2 linked regions of the Macaca fascicularis genome follow. Each later gene encodes a partner of the first gene's protein in a complex. Links are inferred from orthologs where the notes say so. Each region holds a gene or a part of one and is shown in the gene's direction. Other genes may lie near its edges.

Region 1 (10,824 bases):
TCATGCCAGAGAAGCTCAAACAGCTCTGAAGGAAATGGTGGGTGAGGTCATCACATCTTTGGGACCAAGTAATGCTGACGGATCATTTGGTCCTCTCTCAAGAGTTCTTAAAGATCTAAGAATTGTTTATTGGCTTTACTGTAAACACGAAGGAGAGTCAAGAAACAACATACCGAGAATTCATCTTTCTCTTCTGAATATTTGCTGTACCTCAGCATACATAATCTTGGAACCTAAAACTTCTCTTGGAATCAAGAACATTGTGTTTACCATTCATTTGTGCTTTAGCTGGAAAATATGTATTCATTTGTGCATGTGTTAGCTAAATTATGCCTTTTTCTAAATTTCTCAACTGATTTGTAGTTGACCCAGGTGTCCGTTATCGTTATTACCTTGAAGTTCCAGTGTTCCATAATTTTCCTTTCCCCCTTCTTTGCCAGTGTAACTAATTTGGTATTTCTGGCTTCCTGGAAGGGGGACTGTGGCATTCACTTTTATAATCTTTGTAACTGTTTACAACTTTTCTGTAACTCTTTTAAACCGTTCCATACTACTTTAGTACTAGTGAATACATATGGAATGAAGCTTTTGTTGTATAATTCTATCACTTACAGGACTGTAACTCTTGACCAGGCAACAGATAATGCAAAAATAATTGGAAAGGCGATGCTAAACATGTTTCATACAATGAAACTAAATATATCAGACATGAGAGGGGTAAGTGTATAGTAACATTGTAAATTCTGACTTTCTGTAATTTTTGTGTCATTTGAGGCTTGCTCTCAGAATGGTTATTGCTGGCATATAGGGACTTTATATGTAGGTCTTTAGCTGCTTTGTGATATAAGGAAAAGAGAAACAAAAATTCTTGACTTTCTCCATTTTGATCTTCTTCATTTTAGAATAATTTTCTCAGATTCTTACTGTGCTTTTCCAAGGTATCCCTAATTAACCAGGGGCTAATATACATGTCCTCCCTGTTCTTGTTTCCTAGAAGTAGATATGACTGAGGAGTATGAATACATAAATTTTGTGCCTTTAAGTTCCTTTTTAATCAGAAACATACTCTGCTGTCTGCCATATGATGACCTAGAAGGGAGTGAAACCACAGGCACAACAAGATGCCTTTGAAACAGGCAAGAGGCATCAAAATGTCAAAACCATAGATTTTTTGTGTGGGTTTTTTTTTTTTTTTTTTTGAGACGGAGTTTTTGCCCTGTTGCCCAGGCTGGAGTACAGTGACGCGATCTCAGCTCACTGCAACCTCCACCTCCTGGGTTCAAGCAGTTCTCCTTCCTCAGTCTCCCGAGTAGCTGTGGGTACAGGCACCCGCTACCACGCCCTTTTGTATTTTTAGAGACGAAGTTTCACCATGTTGGCCAGGCTGGTCTCAAACTCCTGACCTCAGGTGATCCGCCCGCTTCGGCCTCTCAAAGTGTTGGGATTACAGGCATGAGCCACTGTGTCTGGCCCCCATCTCTACTAAAAATACAAAAATTAGCCGGGTGTTGTGGTACATGCTGTTATAGTCCCATCTACTCGGGAGGCTGAGGCAGGAGAATCACTTGAACCCAAGAGACAGAGCTTGCATGAGCCAAGATCATGCCATTGCACTCCAGCCTGGGTGACACAATGAGGCTGTGTCTCAAAAGAGGAAAAAAAAAAAAAGAACCTTTGTAGGTTTAGTTTATTGTGTGCGTGTGTAAGTTAAGGGTTGTTCTGGCTTGATTGTGGACTTTGTTGAAGGATTAGTCACTAAGCCGGCCATAATTGTAATTTCTCCCTGAAATACTGTTACAGTGGCACTTTATAGAGGGGTCTGTGGTGTGCCTGCTGTTCACCAGTCCCACCAGTATTTTTTGAGAAGTATTTCATTTTAAAAAGATAAAAATAGTTAAGTTTCCAAGTAGCCTGTCCTCTCTTAATTTTTTTTTTATCCTAATTTAAAACCTTAGTTGACCAGAACATCAGTGAAATACAGTATTCCACTTGTTTGGATTTTCTGATTTTAAAGACGTTTTGGTATATTTTGGGAGAATTGGATACTCTGAAGTTTGAGATGAATGACCACTCACTAGCTAGTCTAGAAACTGTTTTTGTAATAACTCATATAGAATGCTGTTGTTTGAATACTTTCATTTACCTTTATTCTAGAAACAGGATCTAGGAGGTAGTGAAAAGGATTTGCTGAGGATTTTGCTTAGCTGAATTCATATTTTACTTTAGTTTTCCTGGAAGCATACTCTTTATTCTGGGTTCTAGGTTGGGATTCACGTGAATCAGTTGGTTCCAACTAATCTGAACCCTTCCACATGTCCCAGTCGCCCATCAGTTCAGTCGAGCCACTTTCCTGGTGGGTCATACTCTGTCCGTGATATCTTCCAAGTTCAGAAAGCTAAGAAATCCACAGAAGAGGAGCACAAAGAAGGTTGGTGGTCATCAGTGGGGTTCTCGTTTAGGTGCTGCTTATGTCCTTGGAAAGACGGCAGTTGGTTTTAAACTTGACACAGCTTTATGTGATTTAAAAAAATTATATTCTTCATTATGATGTATCAATAATAAAGTTTTTTTATTTGTAATGGACAGAGGAAATCAGGGATTAAAGGCCCTGCCCGATGATCTGAAGAGGCTATTTTATGTATTTTCTCTTCGTAGTATTTCGGACTGCTGTGGATCTGGAAATATCATCTGCTTCTAGAACTTGCACTTTGCCACCTTTTCCCGCACATCTGCCGACCAGTCCTGATACTAACAAGGCCGAGTCTTCAGGGAAATGGAACGGTCTGCATTCTCCTGTCAGTGTGCAGTCAAGACTTAACCTGAGTATAGAGGTCCCGTCACCTTCCCAGGTACATTTTTATAGTCCTAAATATAAGTACATTTTATACTCTTAAATATAAGTACAAAAATATAAGTTTACAAATGAAAATGGCATTTTTATTTCTTCATTTAACCAAGAAAGGGAGAATGGGTCACTTGTTCGGGTAGATCATGATGTTGGATTCTAAATAAGCAATAATTGGGTTGAATGAAAGTGCTTTTGCAAAGATTTGCCACTCTTGCAAGTTGTAAAGCATAGCTGAAAGGCAGTCCTCCTGTGGACTGCCATTGTCTGTGACAGTGGTCATCATGTAGACTTACTGTATTCAGCAAGGCAGCTTTGGTGATTAGTGGTGAAGTAGAGGCCTTATGTCAAAGGGCTTTTGCAGTATTTGCAAACAGGTCTCTGGAGTTTTGGATGGTTTAATTCAGCTTGTGTGGGCTGTACATGTGATATGCTGCTGGCATCCTTTGGTCCTTGAAAGTAAGGTAGCACCTTAAGCTATATTGGGCAAGTTCATTTGTGCCCCCGCTCCCCCTGCATGGAAGGAGGCAGGAGATGTTACATACTGGCTGTAAAACTAGGGGAAGGGGCAATGCTGATATGCTTGTATGGTGACAGATACCCACAATTAGTTACTCCTGGCAGGTAAGATTGGCCTACCCAAGTTGACGGGATTGTATGTTTGCAGAGGGCCAGATGTGCATGGACAGATGGAGGGAGGCCCTGGTCAAAGGAACAGTGGGCTCCGTCCTGCAAGTTAGAGAAAATTCAGCTTCTAGAAACCCTTTCTTCCAGTGTGCTGCTCTCAGAGTAGAATTATCTGTATTTTTGGGCAGTCTCTCATCTGAGAGGTGAACTTTTGACTCAGGACTGTTAACCTGTCCAGAATTTTAACATGTGCCTCAGGCCTTCACCCCTCCCCAGGGGTGGGATCTAATTTGAGCTTCACCAAGGTATCCATATCTGTTGGCCCCAATTGCAGGACATTCTGTGAGTATATTTGGACTTACCTGGTCATATGGTAGTGGCCAGTAGTATATACACTTTTCTCCAGACTACACATACTTCAGGCTTCAATGACAAAAGGCCAAGACGTTCCAAAAATGTGCTGATTTAGGGGTGGCTTTCCTAGCCTGATGGTCTGTCTGTACCTTACATTGATTATCCAGTGTTCAAATTGAAATGGAAAGTGGCATGTTAACTCCCAAACACCTCCTCTCTGAGCATGCTTTAATAAACTTCAAACTCATATGTTTGGCATTTTATAGCTGGATCAGTCTGTTTTAGAAGCACTTCCACCTGATCTCCGGGAACAAGTAGAGCAAGTCTGTGCTGTCCAGCAAGCAGAGGCACATGGTGACAAAAGGAAAGAACCAGTGAATGGCTGTAACACAGGAATTTTGCCACAACCAGTTGGGACAGTCTTGTTGCAAATACCAGAACATCAAGAATCGAACAGTGACACAGGAATAAATGTAATAGCCCTTCCAGCATTTTCACAGGTAAGTTAAATATGGGAACCCTCTGCTGTAGTTTCAGTATTCTCACCCCCCTGCTCCAGCTCAGGACCTGTCTCACTTCCCTTTCTCCCGTATCTGACACCACTTCCACTGGGAAGGGGAGGGAGGGAAGAGTGGGCTTGTCTCCATCTCCTGCGTCTGCAGGATGTAGACACTCCGAGCAGCCTCCTGCTGAAGCCAGCAGAGGGAAGAGACGGGGGAGGGCACGATAAGACAGAAGCACATTGATCTGGCGCAAACAGATCAGTGGCCACACTTGAATACAGCAGAGTGGAGATGTGTAATCCTACATGGGGGCAGCAACAACCCGAGCTCCTGTTTTCATGTTTTGCTTCCCATTTTCTACTAGTGCATTTTGCCCAGGTTGTTCTGCTGTTGTAGTGGTTTTTTTTAAGTTAGTACTCTTAATTCCTTGTTCTTGCTCTAACCATTTTGAAGATTTAATCAGCTTTGATATTAAGGAACCGTTAAGAATTCGTACAGATCAGAAAAGTAAGATTTGAAAACAAAATCTATTTTGTGAAAAAAGTTAAACCAGCTACCATCTAGAAGGGAGTTCAGGTTTGACTTTGACCTTGTCTTTTCCACTAGGTGGACCCTGAGGTATTTGCTGCCCTACCTGCTGAACTTCAAAGGGAGCTGAAAGCAGCATATGATCAAAGACAAAGGCAGGGCGAGAACAGCAGCCACCAGCAGTCAGCCAGCGCATCTGGTGAGCCTTGGAAGTGGCATGTAACAAAAATGAAGATAAAGAGTAATGGAGTCACTGTTGTCTAATTATTGCAGTATATAATGGCCAAAGTCTAAGCTGTTCGTTGCATTAAGAGCTCTTTATATTGGGATAATATCTGAAGTTTACAGTATGAGTAAATATTGTCATATTTTAGTTGGATTTGTGTCTGTACTTTCAGGATTTAAACACACCACTTACTACTTTTTTAAAAAGTTGGGATAGGACATTACCAGAAGTGTCTTGAATACTTGTTCAGCTAGTTGTCCTTTGAGATGAATAAATCAAAGGATGTAGGTTCAAAATGCATCACAAACACCAAACCCACATTTATTACTACCCATCACAGATGAGCAACATGCCAAAGGCCGAATTAGTAAGTGGCAAAGCAAAGAGAGAATTGGAGAGCCTGCACTTTCGGCCATGGCCATTCACTGCCTCTCACTTGGGGCAGGAGGGGAGGTGTAGGCTAGGGAGCCTGTTGTATCCGGGAGGAGAAAAGAGAACCCAACCTACTATCATCCAGACTATCCATACTATCAGTTTGTTGAGGATCTTGTATCTATCTATCTTCTCTTAGTGCCAAAGAATCCTTTACTTCATCTAAAGGCAGCAGTGAAAGAAAAGAAAAGAAACAAGAAAAAAAAAACCATCGGTTCCCCAAAAAGGATTCAGAGTCCTTTGAAAAACAAGCTGCCAAACAGTCCTGCAAAAACTCTGCCAGGGGCCTGTGGCAGTCCCCAGAAGTTAATTGATGGGTTTCTAAAACATGAAGGAACTCCTGCAGAGAAACCCCTGGTAATTCTTTAACTTTGACCTTTATGAGATCTTAATGTACCCGGATAATGTGTGAATATAGCAATTTTATCCTTTGTTTTCTTAACAGGAAGAACTCTCTGCTTCTACTTCAGGTGTGCCAGGCCTTTCTAGTTTGCAGTCTGACCCAGCTGGCTGTGTGAGACCTCCAGCACCCAATCTAGCTGGAGCTGTTGAATTCAATGATGTGAAGACCTTGCTCAGAGAATGGATAACTACAATTTCAGGTTGGCTTGGCCTGTTAGATGGCCCAAGGCTGAGATGTAGTCGTCTCATGATTTGAGAACATAAACAGACTAAACTATGTAGATTTAACCCATTTCTCTAACTCTAATAAGCTTAAAGCAGCTACCCCAGTATCTTTTAAATTCTGGGGCTTGCTTTGACAAGTAACAAAGCCCATTCCTTTGATAGCTGTTAGCGGCGTACTTGTAGAAAGGCAGTTTTCCTTTATCCGTGTAGATTTCTGACTTTCTCCTTCAAAAAGATATACTGGTCCTCATTTGAAGTTTTTCCCCTTCCTAGATCCAATGGAAGAAGACATTCTCCAAGTTGTGAAATATTGTACTGATCTAATAGAAGAAAAAGATTTGGAAAAACTGGATCTAGTTATAAAATACATGAAAAGGTAGTAATTCATCACTTTTATCAAATGGGAAAAAATGGCATGTCACAATGGCTAAGTGAGGGTGTACTGAGAAGTTTTAAACTTTCTAGGAAACTGTCCTCATTAGGGTTAATGAAAAAGTGATATCCATTATTCTGTCATGTTGACTAAGTAGTAAATGAGGTTCCAAGTGTGTCGCCCTCAAGTCTTACATGTGATTAGAAGACCACAGGAAGTGGGCTGGGCGCAGTGGCTCACGCCTGTCATCACAGCACTTAACTTCGGGTGGCTGAGGTGGGTGCATTGTTTTGAGACCAGCCTGGCCAAAATGGCATAACCCCATCTCTACTAAAAAAATACAAAAAAAAAAAAAAAAAAATAACCTGGGCGTGGTTGGTGCCCACCTGTGGTCCCAGTTACTTGGGAGGTAGAGGCTGCAGTGAGCCATGATTGTACCACTGCACTCCAGCCTGACAGCTTGTCTCAAAACAAGCTTTTTTTTTTTTTTTTTTTTAGTGTTCTAGGATTTTATTTTTTGAGATGAAGTCTCACTCTGTCACCCAGGCTGGAGTGCAGTGGTGGCATCTTGGCTTACTGCAGCCTCTGCCTCCTGGGTTCCAGTGATTCTCCTGCCTCAGCCTCTCGGGTAGCTGGGATTATAGGCATGTGCCACTACGCCCAGCTAATTTTTGTATTTTCTATAGAGACAGGGTTTTACCATGTTTGGCCAAGCTAGTCTCCAACTCCCGACCTCAGGTGATCTGCCCACCTCGGCCTCCCAAAGTGCTGGGATTACAGGCATGAGTTGTTTTTTTTTGTTTTTTTTTTTTTTTCGCCAAAATCAATTTTTATTTTTAAAAAGGAATAGTCTTAAGGACTTTTCCTGATGGCATTTCTTCTCTCCCCACCTTTAGGTTGATGCAGCAATCGGTGGAATCAGTTTGGAATATGGCGTTTGACTTTATTCTTGACAATGTTCAGGTGGTTTTACAACAAACGTACGGAAGCACATTAAAAGTTACATAAATATTACCAGGGAGCCTGGTGCTCTCCGATCGCTGTGCCATAAGTGCTTGTGAGGTATTTGCAAAGTGCATGATAGTAATGCTTGGAGTTTTTATAATTTTAAATTTCTTTTAAAGCAAGTGTTTTGTACATTTCTTTTCAAAAAGTGCCAAATTTGTCAGTATTGCATGTAAATAATTGTGTTAATTCTTTTACTGTAGCATAGATTCTATTTACAAAATGTTTGTTTATAAAGTTTTATGGATTTTTACAGTGAAGTGTTTACAGTTGTTTAATAAAGAACTGTATGTATATTTTGTACAGGCTCCTTTTTGTGAATCCTTAAAAACTCAACTCTAGGAAGCAACTACTGTTTATTATACTAAAAGGCTGAAAAACCTCCAGGCCAGACTGCTAAGCTCTGAAATTCCTGAGAGGTCTCAGACCGGGATTCTACTTGTTCCAAGAAAGGGTAAAGCCTCTAAACCATCTTATTCTTGTCTCCAAGCATGAACACAGGAGCATGTTAAGAAAATCTTTACTTCTTCCATGTGGAGAAATCTACATATTTTGAATTAGAAACACCCTCACACCCACTTGAAGATTTTTTCTTGGGAACATTATGTCCCATAGATCAGAGGTGATGTTGTCTTTGCCTCTACTGGCCATTGAGAAACTTTGATGATAAAAAAGAACGGTATAGATTTTCAAACGGATATAAAATATTTTTATGCTATGTTATGCCGTAACTTTAAAATAAAAATGTAGTTTAAAATTCTGTGCTAGTGGATATTTGGAACTTTTTCCTCAAACACCCCACACTGACTTCAACAAAACCCTAAAACTAGCTACAGATTACTACTATGAATGAATCATTAAGTTGTGTCCGCAACAATTTAGAAGCACTAAGCCCAAATACCAGGAGATGTATGTATAATGGAATTTTCTAAGACAAAACAGATCCAGATTAATGTATAAAAATCTCGACTGTTACCAGGTGCTGGCATACAAGGTAGTGTGATAGTTGGTAAGATAATTCTTATCCTAGGAGGACAGCTTGTGGGAGAGAAGCTACACTAACATGGAAGCCTAACAGAGCTTGCTGGTGGATGTCTGTTTTCTTTATTGGTAGTTTGGTTTGGAATTGTGATGATTACAATGGACTCATGACTACACAAGCAGTAAAAAGCAGCCAGCTGTGCTTTTACACCGTGGTTTCACACAAAGCAGATAAATACCAGAATGCCTAATTTTCTATTTTATAAAAGCCCTAAAGGCATATGGCAGAAGAATGCTGGAAAAATCACTGTGGGAAGAATATGCATAAATAAAGAAGTATTTCTTACATCAAAAAAGTCCCAAGAATCACAAAATCTGCAGAAGCTTGGTTAATCAAATACTGCAGTACTGATTTAATCAGTATAAAATCGAAAGAGCTTTAGATCTGTAATAAAAATCCAAATTTGGGGAAGGGCAAACTTTAAAACAGCAGCCAAGTAGAGAAGGGTTGGGGAAAGGAGAGGTGAGTGAACAGGCACGTTGGAACTGTGGGGACATGTAATTGACCACTGTCAAACCAGTGTAAGTTTCTTGGTTTCTCATGGAAAACATTTTATACACCTATTTTTCTTCCTTCCATACTTAAGTCCATCAGTGTCCAGATACGTCTGTTCCATTTTTTGGTGGGATATTACAACACAGTATTGCATTTACTCCAGTTCCTGCTCCGTGTGAAAAAAATTAGATGATTTCAAATACTTTCTTCAGCTCCACAATAAGCTGCCAGTCACTCTTCTGCATTTCGTCTCTGAACCAGTCTTTGAGTGCATCAATGGACTGCCGGCTGATCTGCAATGCCCGAGGCACAAACAGGGTAAACAGAACGTAACAAACATGTGCCAAAGAAAGCTGTGGCCCCAGACGCCCGCTCTCACCGTAATAAAGCTTATACAGGGCTTGCCTGCCTAAGGGAGTAGAATTCCGAAATCACATCTGGTTGGTATGTCAGGCACAAGGGGATCTAAAAGTCCTAGCTTTCTCTGTTGGTGCTGCTTTCCTGATGGGGCAACTTCCTCAAAAGACAAGGCCCAGCTAAAGGTCAGGCCCTAATGGGGGATCCAGTCCCATCAGATACTACAATCAAACTGAAGCCCAAGGAGCTTCTGGGCACAGGTGACCCGAGAAGAGTGATTCCCCATTTCTTAAAGTCTGCCACTTTTGCCGAAATGCTTACCTTACTGACAAGAATGTCTGTAGCTTCAAAATGTCTTCCAAACATTTTGGGTGACTCACCAGGGATAGGTTCTATTTTTACACAGACTTCTTGTCCTTTTTTTGCAACATCTACTTGTTTATGGTTTATTTCAATACTTGTTACTATTCCGATGTCAACAAACTGTAAAATAACATATTACAATGCATGCTGAAGAATTCATGCCAATCACAGGCGCCATGGCTGGACAACTGAAATAAGAACTGGAGCAAAAGCCTGTTTTAAAAGTCATGGCAGTGCGATCCTTCATTCATCCCTTAAGGTCTCACAGTGTAATGTTTTGGTAAATTAGGCTGGCACCACCAACACCCTGTTCCCTTCACGACGGCTGTAAGAATGACAGGAGATAATGTGCTTTGCAAAACATTCCAAGTGCCCTGTTGACCCAATGTCATTTCGTATTTTTGCTCTACCATTTCACATGACAGGTGCCATAATAGAAGGGATCAGCAGGCACAACGGGTCTGAGTCAGGAATGAGCTTGAAGTGACTGGTGGGAATGAAGTCAGAGTGAGGACCGATCCTGAAATTTTAAGAATGATGGCCTGTGAGCAGATGAGTGATGTGATCTCAGAGTTTGGGGCAAAAAACCCTGACTCCTTTGTGGAGAAAAGGATTCAGGAGAGTAAGAGTGAAAAGAAAGAGAGCTCTGTTTGATTTAGGAGGCCAAAGCCACATAGAAAATAACACAAATGTCCTGGCTTAGTCCACTGAAATGGTAGAGAATCAGTGACAACTTCTAAGTGCCACTGCCCATTACAGGAACCAGGTTTGGGGCAGGGAAAGTACCAGATGAGGCTGGAACATCTCACTGCACCAGAAAGGAAGAAGATGCTCAGACTACTGTGTGTCAAGGATATAGGAGCCAGTTTAAATGAGCTCCTACTGACCACACTGGACAATCTATCAAAAGAATAAAGGTAATGGATTATATTTAAAAAACAACAAAACAAAAAAAACCCCTGCTAAGTCTATGAGTCAATAAAAAGGTCAGTGGGAAGAGGTTCTTTCTAAGAAATGGGGGGACAGGTATATCCACAATTTTGCCAC
Region 2 (10,824 bases), on another chromosome or scaffold:
TATTATATGTTAAGCACTTAGAATAGCACTTGGCACATAGTAAGCACTATTTAATGATAGTTGCTTTTCAAGGGAAGAACAGAAAAAGGGGGGCTCAAGAGGGAGCCATCAGAGATAAGAGTATATGGGGTTTTAGCCCCTAAGGAAAGAGATTCAAGTAGGAGGGACCAGTCAACAATGTTAAACGTTGCTGAGAAGCCAAGTAAGTTAGAAAGTGAAAATTATCCATGGAATTTAGTGATAGCCTTGGTAAGAGCATTTTCAGTGGAGTGACCAGATTCTGGTGAGCTAAGTAAATGGGAACACAGGAAGTGAGACAGCAAATATGGACAGATCTTTCCAGGAGATTTGACTGCAAAGCAGAAAAGAGGGTGGTAGCTAAGGAGGGATTGAGACGGGAAGGATATATACGTTTCTAAAGTTGAGAATGACTTGAACTTGGATTGTTAGGAGGGTGCTATAGAGAAGAAAAGGCTGAAAATCCTGGGGAGGTGGGATGACTGATAAAGATGGGTCCTCAGGGAGAGAGAGAGACAGAATTGCCATAGTTTCTGTAAGTTCCATGAGAATAGGGATCGTGTCTCAGTTGTTAACTATATACCCAAAATAGTGCCTGGCACACTAATAAGTAGTTATTGAGTGAATTAGTGATAGACATTAGTTCTTTTTTTTCTTTAGCTCAAAACCTTGAGCATAAGTATACAAATATTTATTAAATAAACAAATGTATAGCCAAAGAGTAATAATTTACAAGTCTCTTGTCTTTTAGGGAAGGATTTCAAGAAAATATTAACACCCTGATAAGTTTATTTGAAATATATTACTAGATTTCAAAAAATTTTAAAATCTAGTTGGGTATTCCAGGCTCTAAAAATCAGTTCCTTTGTTGTATCTAGCAAGTAAGCAAACAAGAATAAACGTGACGCAAAAGTTCAAAATGAAATCTGCCAGGGCCCACTAAAATAAACATGGCAAGTAGAAATGTGGTAATAGGAAGCACTTCAGTGAAACTTTACCTAATTACTTAAAGTATCCTCAGTAGAAAAGTGAATTTATCTCCAACAAATGAGTTTGTATTTGGTCCTGAGAATTATGGGCCAACTGAGATCTGACTCATGATTTCGTGTGTTTTAAGTGCCGTGACATGAAGAAAGTTGAAATTTTAGGATTGACCAGAGATCTCTTGTCATCAGACATACTCCCAGCCTAACTCGGTCTCTTCCTCATTGCCAATTCCTGGTCCTGACCCTAAGGTGTGGAATTCAAACCAGAAGGAGAAAGAGTTGTTTCAACGCCAACTTCAGACATTGACAGTGAAATAAAACATTACCCTTTTCCTTGTATGTGGAAGTACTGCAAGGCCAGAGAGGAAGAGCAGTGGGTGAAAGCAAATGATTTCCATCTGTTCTTAACTCTGATGCACAAAAGATGTGTGTAAATACAGAGTTTTCTGATGAAGACCATAATAAATCAGTGGAAGATTTTTGGAGCTTTTGACTCTAGCTTTGGGGCTGTCCAGTCTAAAGTTACTTCTGAGATGAAATGATGTATCAGGGATTTTCTTTTTTTTTTTCATTAGACCAGGTGTTCTAGCAGTTAATCTCGAAGTTGTGCCTGGTTGATCTTTAAGATAATTGCTATCACCACATAGTTTAGAAATCTCCCACCCCAAGTTGAAGGTGATACACTAAAGAAGGGAGAGAAGCCAGAAGCCTCACTTTCATTCACTTAGTCATTCTTTCAACATGTTGTTTCTAGCACTTTTCTGTGCCAGGTCTTGAGCTGGGTGCCTGAAATAAAAAAGATAAATAAGACTTCAAGGAGTTCTTACGTATGCTCAATAAGCAAGACTGGGAAAAATAAAATATTTTTCTTTGTTAGAAAAAGCTGGGGAACTTTGCTTTTTCTAACAAAGAAAATAATCCTGTGAGAAGGCTAAATTAATTACCTATTCACAATGTGGAATGTTACATTATGGATTTGTGTGAAACGGCACTTCTATAATGATTAGAGAAGAGATGTATGTTCCCTTTAATATGCCACGCAAGCTGTTCCACCAATTTTCTTCTCTTGGCCTTGGGCATACTTACTTGTCTGGTGCCGTTAGTATTATTAGAAATTATTAACAAATGGCTGTCAAGGACTATAGGTTATTGGAGCCAGTGGCTCTGCTCCCAGCTTCTCCTATTTTTCTTTTTTTTGTTTTTTGTTTTGAGACAGAGTCTCACTCTGTCACCCAGGCTGGAGTGCAGTGGTGTGATCTTGGCTCACTGTAACCTCTGCCTCCCAGGTTCAAGCAATTCTCCTGCCTCAGCCTCCTGAGTAGCTGGGATTACAGGCACGTGCCACCATGCCCAGCTAACTTTTGTATTTTCAGTAAAGACAGGGTTTTGCCGTGTGCCAGGCTGGTCTTGAACTCCTGACCTCATGATCCACCTGCCTCGGCCTCCCAAAATGTTGGGATTACAGGCATGAGCCACCACACCCAGCCTTTTACTTGTTTTAAAGCATGATTTGTTTATTTATTTTGAGACAGCGTCTCACTCTGTTCCCTAGACTGGAGTTGAGTGATGAGATTATGGCTCAGTGCAACCTGGACCTCCTGAATTCAGGTGATCCTCCTACCTTGGCCTCCCGAGTAATCAGGGCTATAGGCGTGTGCCACCACACCCAACTAATTTTTGTGTTTTTTGTAGAAACAAAGTTTCACCATGTTGCCCAGGCCGTCTTAAATTCCTAGACTTACACGATCTGCCTACCTCAGGTTCCCAAACCTCTGGGATTACAAGCATGAGCCAGTACACCCAACCCTGCAGCATGATTTACTCTGGCCAAGAGCGTTGCCAGGAAATTTGTTAATATTTAAAGCTTAGTTTTGATTCAGTCAATATTTATTGCAAATCTAGCCCTATCAGAGGAAGGTCTTTAAAAACAAGGGCTATTTCATTTCCCAAGGATAATGAAATTACTGCGTCTTTTATTATTGTTGGTTGCATTCTTTTTTGAATTAGGATACTTTTTTCAAAAAAAGCAAGAATATTCAATTAATGGTGGTAGAAGGCACCTAATTCCAACCCTGTCTGTTACTAACTAGATGTATGACCTAGTACAAGTGACTCACTTCTCTCTAGTATTTGTTTCTTTATGTAATAGAGAGTTTCATACAACATTTTTCTAAAGTTGATTTTAAACAATATTAGAGTTAAGTATTGTGTGGAAGAAGCAAGAATTTGAAAATAAGGTTGTATACTGACATTAGTTTTTTTTTCTTTCTCTTTTTTTTGTTGAACCACCCAAGAATGCATATGCTGACATTAACTTAATGTAACATTTCTGTCCCTAGATTTAGTGCTATACAGTGTGCAGCTGCAGTCCCTAGATCTCCTGCTGAATCTTCTTCATCTTCCAAAAAGTTTGAGCAGTCACATCTTCACATGTCAAGTGAGACACAAGCCAACAATGAGCTGACCACCAATGGTCATGGCCCACCTGCATCCAAGCAGGTTTCCCAGCAGCCCAAAGGAATTATGGGAATGTTTGCCTCCAAAGCTACTGCTAAAACCCAAGAAACCAACAAGGAAGCTAAAACAGAGGCTAAGGAAGTAACAAATGTAAGTCTTCTTTGAAGATACCCTTCATTACAGCTCAGAGTGGGTAACTAGAAAAGCATTAATGGTCCCAGTGGTAGTAGTTTATTTATGTAAGGTTCTGATACTCAGTTCTGATTTTTCTACTTTAGTTTGAACGCTTTCATACTTGATACTGTTACCTGAAAGAGTTCTTTTGCTTTTGATAATGATTCTCACCAAGCCTTGGATTTCCTTTGCAAACGAGATTGTTGTGAGACCCAGATGAAAACATGTGAAAACACCTCTAAAATTGTTAACATTCAAAAAAATGTTTATTTGCAATATGTCATTCTGAGGAATATCTTATGTTCTGGGCTTTGCAATATATACCTTCCTTCCTAGTGTATTTCCCATTCTTATTATACTTTATGTGGGTTTTTTTGTTTTGTTTTTGCTTTATTTGCTTCCCTTAGATTTTTATTGTTCAGTCATCTGAACTAACTTAAGGGCATTGACTTAAGAAAAGTATCATTCCAATACTATTTTAAAAATCCAGAAAAGTATAATTATTGTTGTTACTATTATTATCACTGTCATTTTCAAGTGTCAAGTGTATTCAATTCAGATCACTGTCATTTTCAAGTGTCTGTCTTGGGGAAGAAGGATGGAGGAAAACAATAATGTTTATTGAATTTCAGCTGTGTGCCAATAGTTTGGTCTTTGTTCAAATCCTCTTATCAGTTCTGTGAGGGAGGTATTAACTATTTCCCTTTCACATATGGTGAAACTGAAACCTAGACTTAAGTAATTTGCCTGGAGCTCATATTGCTACTAAACGGTGGGAACCAGGAATTCAGATCTACTTCTGATGATTAAAAATGTAATGTTTTAGGTTTTCCCGCTTTGTGTACATACTGCCTCTGATCTTTTTTAATTCTGTCAAATTAAATAGTTTTTAAATGTGCTCAAGAAAAGTTTAGACATATCCATGGGTACTTAATTTTATAAGATCTATAAGAAACTAAGCTTTAGAGATTAACACCAGTTACTATCTGGTGTGGATTATTGTTCTAGATTTGTTCTTATATCTAACGCCTCTGCATTTTGGCACTATTATATAGAGACTATACTATCGCAGCAGTGTGCTATAGAAAAGATTGTTTGAGACTGCTACTTCATGAACAGCCTAAATGCTAGCAAAAAATCATACGTGTTTTCTGTGCTTGTAGGCATCTTCAGCAGGCAACAAGGCCCCAGGGAAAGGGAATATGATGAGCAACTTTTTTGGAAAAGCTGCTATGAGTAAGCATGTTCTTACCTTACTTTGACTAATGAATGAATGTTAATGTAATGACATATTATACCGGAAGTAAAAGTTACTTTGTTTAGTTTTTGCCTGTCCAGGAGACTACCTGCATCCTAACATAAATTTACAGTGTACTGCCCAATATATTGATGAAAGTAACTTAGCTGGAACTTTATGGGTGAGTTAGGCTCAGTTGAGATCTCTTCGAGAGCAGTTTATTATTCCTGGTTTAACTTCCCGCCTTGAAAAGATAATGAACTATTTCCTTCATAGGGCCCTTGAAAATGGGTGATTAAAATAAAAGGGAGGCTGCCTGGCTACGCAGTATAGTATTGAGGTTAATAACATGGATGCTAGAGTCAGTTTGCCTGGTGTGACCTTTATTTCTTCTATCTCTCAAGGGTCCACAAAAGCAAATATTTTGCCTTTCTTTGGTTATTTTTTGCAGATTACTTACAGTAATGAATTAGACTTCCAGTGTGAATTAGAAGGGCCCGAGTCATAATGGACATTTAAAAATCTTTTTTTGAGAAAGCAAAAATCTTCTTTATTTTTAAAAAGGTACTTGAGTAAGAATTCTTCTGTATGGAAAGAACCAGTAGTCACATATTTTCATACTTCTCATATCAAGTGTACATCCCCTGAGAGTATGTGGTAGAATACCAGGAAGAATGCAGGAGCCACAGGATAATTATGGCACACTTTCTTGGAGCATCAGTTTTACAAAGATTTTTCAAGGAGGCATTTTGTTACATGCCTATGCAAGCAAAATTAGTCAAAATTCTGCCTTTCCATGATGGCTAAATTTTTTTTCATATTCTGCTTATGTAAGCGTGACAGTTTTTGTGTTTGCTATAAAAGCTGTCAGAGAACATTTTTGTGTTCTTGCAGCTCAGAATGGGTAACTAGAAAAGTGAATGGAAAATGTGATACTTAAAGGTTTCTGGGAAGCATTGTTGTATTACTGCAGGCACAGTTGGTGTACAGGGAATGATTCCTACTTCCGTTAAAACAGGTCCCCAACCCACAGGCCACTGATGGGTAGCAGTCCGGGGCCTGTTGGGGACTGGTTTGCACAGGAGGTGAGCAGCAAATGAGCAAGCATTATTATGCCTGAACTCCACCTCCTGTCAGATCAGTGGTGGCATTAGATTCTTATAGGATTGCGAACCCTTTTGTGAACTGTGCATGTGAGGGATCTAGGTTGCGGGCTCCTTATGAGAATCTAATGCCTGATGATCTGAGGTGGAACAGTTTCATCCTGAAACCACCCCTACGCTGCTGCCCACCACCACCCCTGCCTATGGAAAAATTGTCTACCATGAAACTGGTCCCTGGTGCCAAAAAGGTTGGGGACTGCTGTGTTAAAGCATCATGCTGTCACTGACCTGCCTAGCTGGTATGGGCCACTGTACCCAATCAGATCATGGTTTCTTGGCAACTTTGATGAGACCCATCTTTTTGTTGGTTGCTTTTTTTTAAATGCATTTGTAACCTTAAAAACCCAGTGAATTTTAAAATTCTTATTTTTAAAATACATAAAATATGTGATTGTGAATTGTTTAAAAAAATCAAACTATACAGAAGTGTACTTATTTAAGTCATGTGTTTAGTTAGCAAATAGATCAAGCACCTGCTATATGCTTGGCATTGTTATGCACTGGTGATACAATAGAGAAAAAGACAAGGTCCCTGCCTCAAGTCCTTATACTCTACTGAGAGAGATGGACAAATAAATATGGAAAAAAAGCCAGGCATGGTGGTACATGCCTATAATCCCAGCTACTCGGGAGACCGAGGCAGGAGATTTGCTTGAGCCCATGAATTCAAATCCAGCCAAAAATATAGCAAGACCCCATTCCTAAAAAAAAAAAAAAGTGGATGATTGTAATTGCTAGGTAGGAGTAATAAGGTGTTATAATGGCATGTAATTCAGTGAGGGGGAAAACCTGGATAAAATAAAATACTATTAAATATTAATGTAAAAAAAAGAATTGCTTACAAAGTTAATTTATTTAACAGACATTTCTTCAAGGCTGAATGTTCAGAGTAAAATTAGGACTTTTTTATTGTATTTGACACATGACAAGATCATTACAATGAAAATGAAGCTTGAGAATTGGATGAAGAGAGTTCATTGTGGGGACTTGAACCATGTAAACTTAATATTGGACAGTAACAAGTGTTGCCAAGGATATGGAGAAATTGAACCCTCACGTTCTGCTGTGGGGAATGTAAAATGATGTGTACTCACTTTGGAAAATGATATGGCAGTACTTCTAAAAGTTAAACATAGAGCAGCAGTTCCTCTCCTAGATATCTACTCAAGGGAATTAAAACTGTATGTCCACACAAAAACTTGTACATAGATGTTCATAGCAGCATTCTTCGTAATAGCCAAAAATTGAAACAGTCCAAGTCTGTCATCTGATGAATGGATAAACAAAGGTGGTATATCCAGACAATGAAATGTTATTCAGCTATAAAAAGTAATGAAGTACAGATTGATATGTGATATACATGGATGAACCTTGAAATATTAAGTGAAATAAGCCAGATAGAAAAGATCATATATGATTTCATTTGTATGAAACATCCAGAATAGGCAAGTCTATAGAGACAGTAGGGGCCGGGCGTGGTGGCTCAAGCCTGTAATCCCAGCACTTTGGGAGGCTGAGGCGGGCGGATCATGAGGTCAGGAGATCGAGACCATCCTGGTTAACACGGTAAAAATCCGTCTCTACTAAAAAAATACAAAAAATTAGCCGGGCATGGTGGCAGGCACCTGTAGTCCCAGCTACTCGGGAGGCTGAGGCAGGAGGATGGCGTGAACCTGGCAGACAGAGCTTGCAGTGAGCCAAGATCGCTGCACTGCACTCCAGCCTGGGCAACAGAGTGAGACTCTGTCTCAAAAAAAAAAAAAAAAAAAAAAAGAGAGAAAGAGGAAGGAGAGGAGAGGAGAGGAAGATTGGTTGTCAGGGACTGGACTGGGGTCAAGGAGGAATGCTAATGGGTTCAGGGTTTCTTTTTGGGGTGATGAAAATGCTCTAAAACTGGACAGTTATGGTGGATATACAACCAAAACCCACTGAATGTAAAGTGATGAATTTTATGGTATGTGAATTATATCTCAATTTTTAAAAGTAATGCTTTATATGTGATAAAATTCAGCATTGATTACAAAATTTAAAGGTCATAATTGGTTATCTTTATTTGCTTGAAAAGGTTTCATGTTTTCTTGAGTATAAGAAGGAAATGCTTTTAATCAGCTAGAAAATAGGTGACTTGATCATTCAGGTAACAAAATGTCATTAAATTTTCCTTAATAATCGCCTTAAATTGTTGCATTGAACTACCTCTTTACCAGTTAATTGGCTATTGGTAGCTGCATATATGTTTAAGTTAGAGTTCTCAAAATTCTGTGAAACCAAGACAGAGAGAAGAAACTCTGGATGCTGAATCTAATGTTTGATCAGTGGTATTTTAATTGAGATCGGTTTTCTGTAATTGGTAAACTCAATGCAGTAGCCTCGCTTTCCTTAATACATAAGGTAGGTAGGAAGTGTTTGGAGGTTTTTTCTCCTAATGATGCCATTTTTAAAACAATTGCTATTAAAACAGTATAATTTATGTGATAGATTGAAAATTTTGCATAAATTTTAAAGCTACACATGTGACTCCAGTGTACTGTATTTTTTGGATTGGCTGTTGACCCCTAGAGCCCTGGAGATGCATGTTTACTCTCTTATACAATTTGGGATATTTGAGAGGCACTGATACTTGAGAACAACAGTTGAAAATGCAAGAGTATGCCATCATTGGAAAGGTGGATTCCACCGTTCGCATTTTCTATTCAAGTCTTCAGGAAAAATAAAAGTGTAAATAGATTACATTTTACACTTTGGTCCATCAGCTACACCTTCAAATAATACACATTATTTATAAATTATTATACTAAGCTATGCATAATAGCCAAGACTATGATACTAGTTTTTTCTACACTGTAGAAGGTTTAAGCTATTATAACAACATATAACCAAAACTACTTATTGAAGCGCCTCCAGCTATTGACAGCTTTCCAATAGTATTTTGTGACTTTACTTGTGAAAAGCTATCACTAAGTACAGTGTGAAGGCTAGATGACATGCTTCTGTAGTTCCTCAGATGGTGAGGCCTTTTTGCATTTCTTAGTTCTCCCTGTTGCACAGTAGTCATTCTTCAGCTCGGTGTAGGAAAAGGGTTAAGGACTTTGAGGAGTTAAACTGACTTCTGTTCAAATCCCAACTCTTACCTTTTCTGTCAGTGTTACCTTGGATAAATCATTTAACCAATACTGATCTCTTTTAGTCCTTATAATAATCTTGTAACTATTATCCCAGGTGTAGAAAAGACTGACTTTTAGATAAAATAACTTGCCCAGAGTGAAGCGGGGTTTGAACCAAACTTCTTTGAATCCAAAATGTCTTTAACTTTTATCATTAAGGTAGTAGTGAGATATTAAGGGTATCCAGGCATTAAAAGATAGAATATATAGAAAGTAAAGGTCTTGGCTACAAATCGTTGTCACCATTTGTAAACTGTGTATTGTTGGGAAACATCTTGTAATCCTTCTGATTATTGATTTTCCTCATCTGAAAAAGATGATACCTCATAAAGTTGTATATGTTTTTTCTAAGCCTTGCTTTTACTATCATTTAGCCTGGGGGCTGTGATACAATGAGGGATTAGCAGGAGGCAGAAATGAGAAGTTACAGTTAGAGTGGTAGTTGGAAAGGAGGAATGTTTTCTAAATAGTCCATGAGCTCCTTTTTGCCCCTGCTCCTAACATATTACCTGGCACATGGTAGACTGTCAAAAGGATGATGTATTAATATTGCATGATGGGGTCATATGTCGTCTGCTATACTCTATTTATAGATAAACTTAAAGTCAATTTGGACTCAGAACAAGCAGTGAAAGAAGAAAAAATAGTGGAGCAGCCTACAGTATCTGTCACTGAACCAAAGCTGGCAGCTCCTGCAGGCCTGAAAAAATCCAGCAAAAAAGCAGAGCCTGTTAAGGTGCTGCAGAAGGAAAAAAAAAGGTAGGAAAATGTTGTTGCTTGTTGGGGAAGAGTCTCTACTGGGGGTGAGAAGGTCTCTTTGGGCTTATTGACAGCAGGCAGTTTTCAGTTAAGTACTAAATCCCACTTAATGCCTTACCGATACAACTATACAACCAAAATGGAAAGAGAAGCCCACTAGCTTATCTAGTGGAGTAGAACTGTGGAATCAGCCAGTTTGGATGATTTAAGGACCAAAGTCATTTTTTTGGCCTTATTGATCTAAATTGATTGTTAGTTTTTGTTTTAAATTTGTGGACATGGCATAAGTGTGTCTAATTGTGTGTGTGTGTGTTTCACTTCAATTTGCCAAATGAAGGGTTACTGTTTCCAGTCAAATTTAAGAGAAAAAGTTCTTTGTTTTCTTTTTGTATCAATGAGTTTATTTTTCAAGTGGTAAAATGTAATTAGAAAAGAAAATAAAAAGCACATAAGCTATTAAAACTAGATCCAGGAATTGGAGACACTACCTCATAGTTGGTAGAATTAGTCTGTTGAAAGAAATTCTAAAGGACACTGTCAAGACTGATAGGCCTAGAAAGACGACTTTTGTGGCAAGGTTGGGATTACTCTCGTTGAAAACATCAACAAAATGGTGAAATTTTAGAGGGTTAAAGCTCTGTCCAGTGGGCCTTACCTCCTAGGAACTTATGACTTGTATGGATAAAAATGTCCCCAACCATGGGTACATCACTCACTGTTGATGCTTATTGCCAGGAATGCATTCAGTATTTCACTACTAAATGTGATGTTAAATGTAGATTTTTAATAGATACCCTTAACCCGATTGAGGAAGTTGTTTTCTGTTCCAAGGTTGCTAACAGGTTTTATCATGAGTGGTTATTGAA

What was found.
Region 2: the proteins of REV1 (region 1) and POLD3 are in contact, whole or in part, in an NMR structure (PDB 2N1G), measured with the Homo sapiens proteins. The link is inferred for Macaca fascicularis from reciprocal best matches to the Homo sapiens genes REV1 and POLD3. Residues at the interface, in NP_057400.1 of Homo sapiens: Asn1158, Leu1159, Ala1160, Gly1161, Leu1171, Leu1172, Glu1174, Trp1175, Ile1179, Met1183, Glu1184, Glu1185, Asp1186, Gln1189, Val1190; in NP_006582.1 of Homo sapiens: Gly232, Asn233, Met234, Met235, Ser236, Asn237, Phe238, Phe239, Gly240, Ala242, Ala243, Met244.

Annotation. Positions count from the first base shown.
Region 1 is NC_088387.1:3,894,597-3,905,420, reverse strand, and holds the end of REV1 (DNA repair protein REV1), read left to right. Parts: intron 1-614; coding exon 615-717; intron 718-2,262; coding exon 2,263-2,428; intron 2,429-2,655; coding exon 2,656-2,849; intron 2,850-4,092; coding exon 4,093-4,326; intron 4,327-4,935; coding exon 4,936-5,056; intron 5,057-5,654; coding exon 5,655-5,872; intron 5,873-5,960; coding exon 5,961-6,117; intron 6,118-6,415; coding exon 6,416-6,518; intron 6,519-7,411; coding exon 7,412-7,523; 3' UTR 7,524-7,821; downstream 7,822-10,824. Other genes in the region: EIF5B (eukaryotic translation initiation factor 5B), read right to left, coding at 9,243-9,350, 9,736-9,897. UniProt on the Homo sapiens protein: Deoxycytidyl transferase involved in DNA repair. Transfers a dCMP residue from dCTP to the 3'-end of a DNA primer in a template-dependent reaction.
Region 2 is NC_088388.1:73,486,412-73,497,235, forward strand, and holds part of POLD3 (DNA polymerase delta subunit 3), read left to right. Parts: intron 1-3,343; coding exon 3,344-3,611; intron 3,612-4,798; coding exon 4,799-4,871; intron 4,872-9,792; coding exon 9,793-9,958; intron 9,959-10,824. UniProt on the Homo sapiens protein: Accessory component of both the DNA polymerase delta complex and the DNA polymerase zeta complex.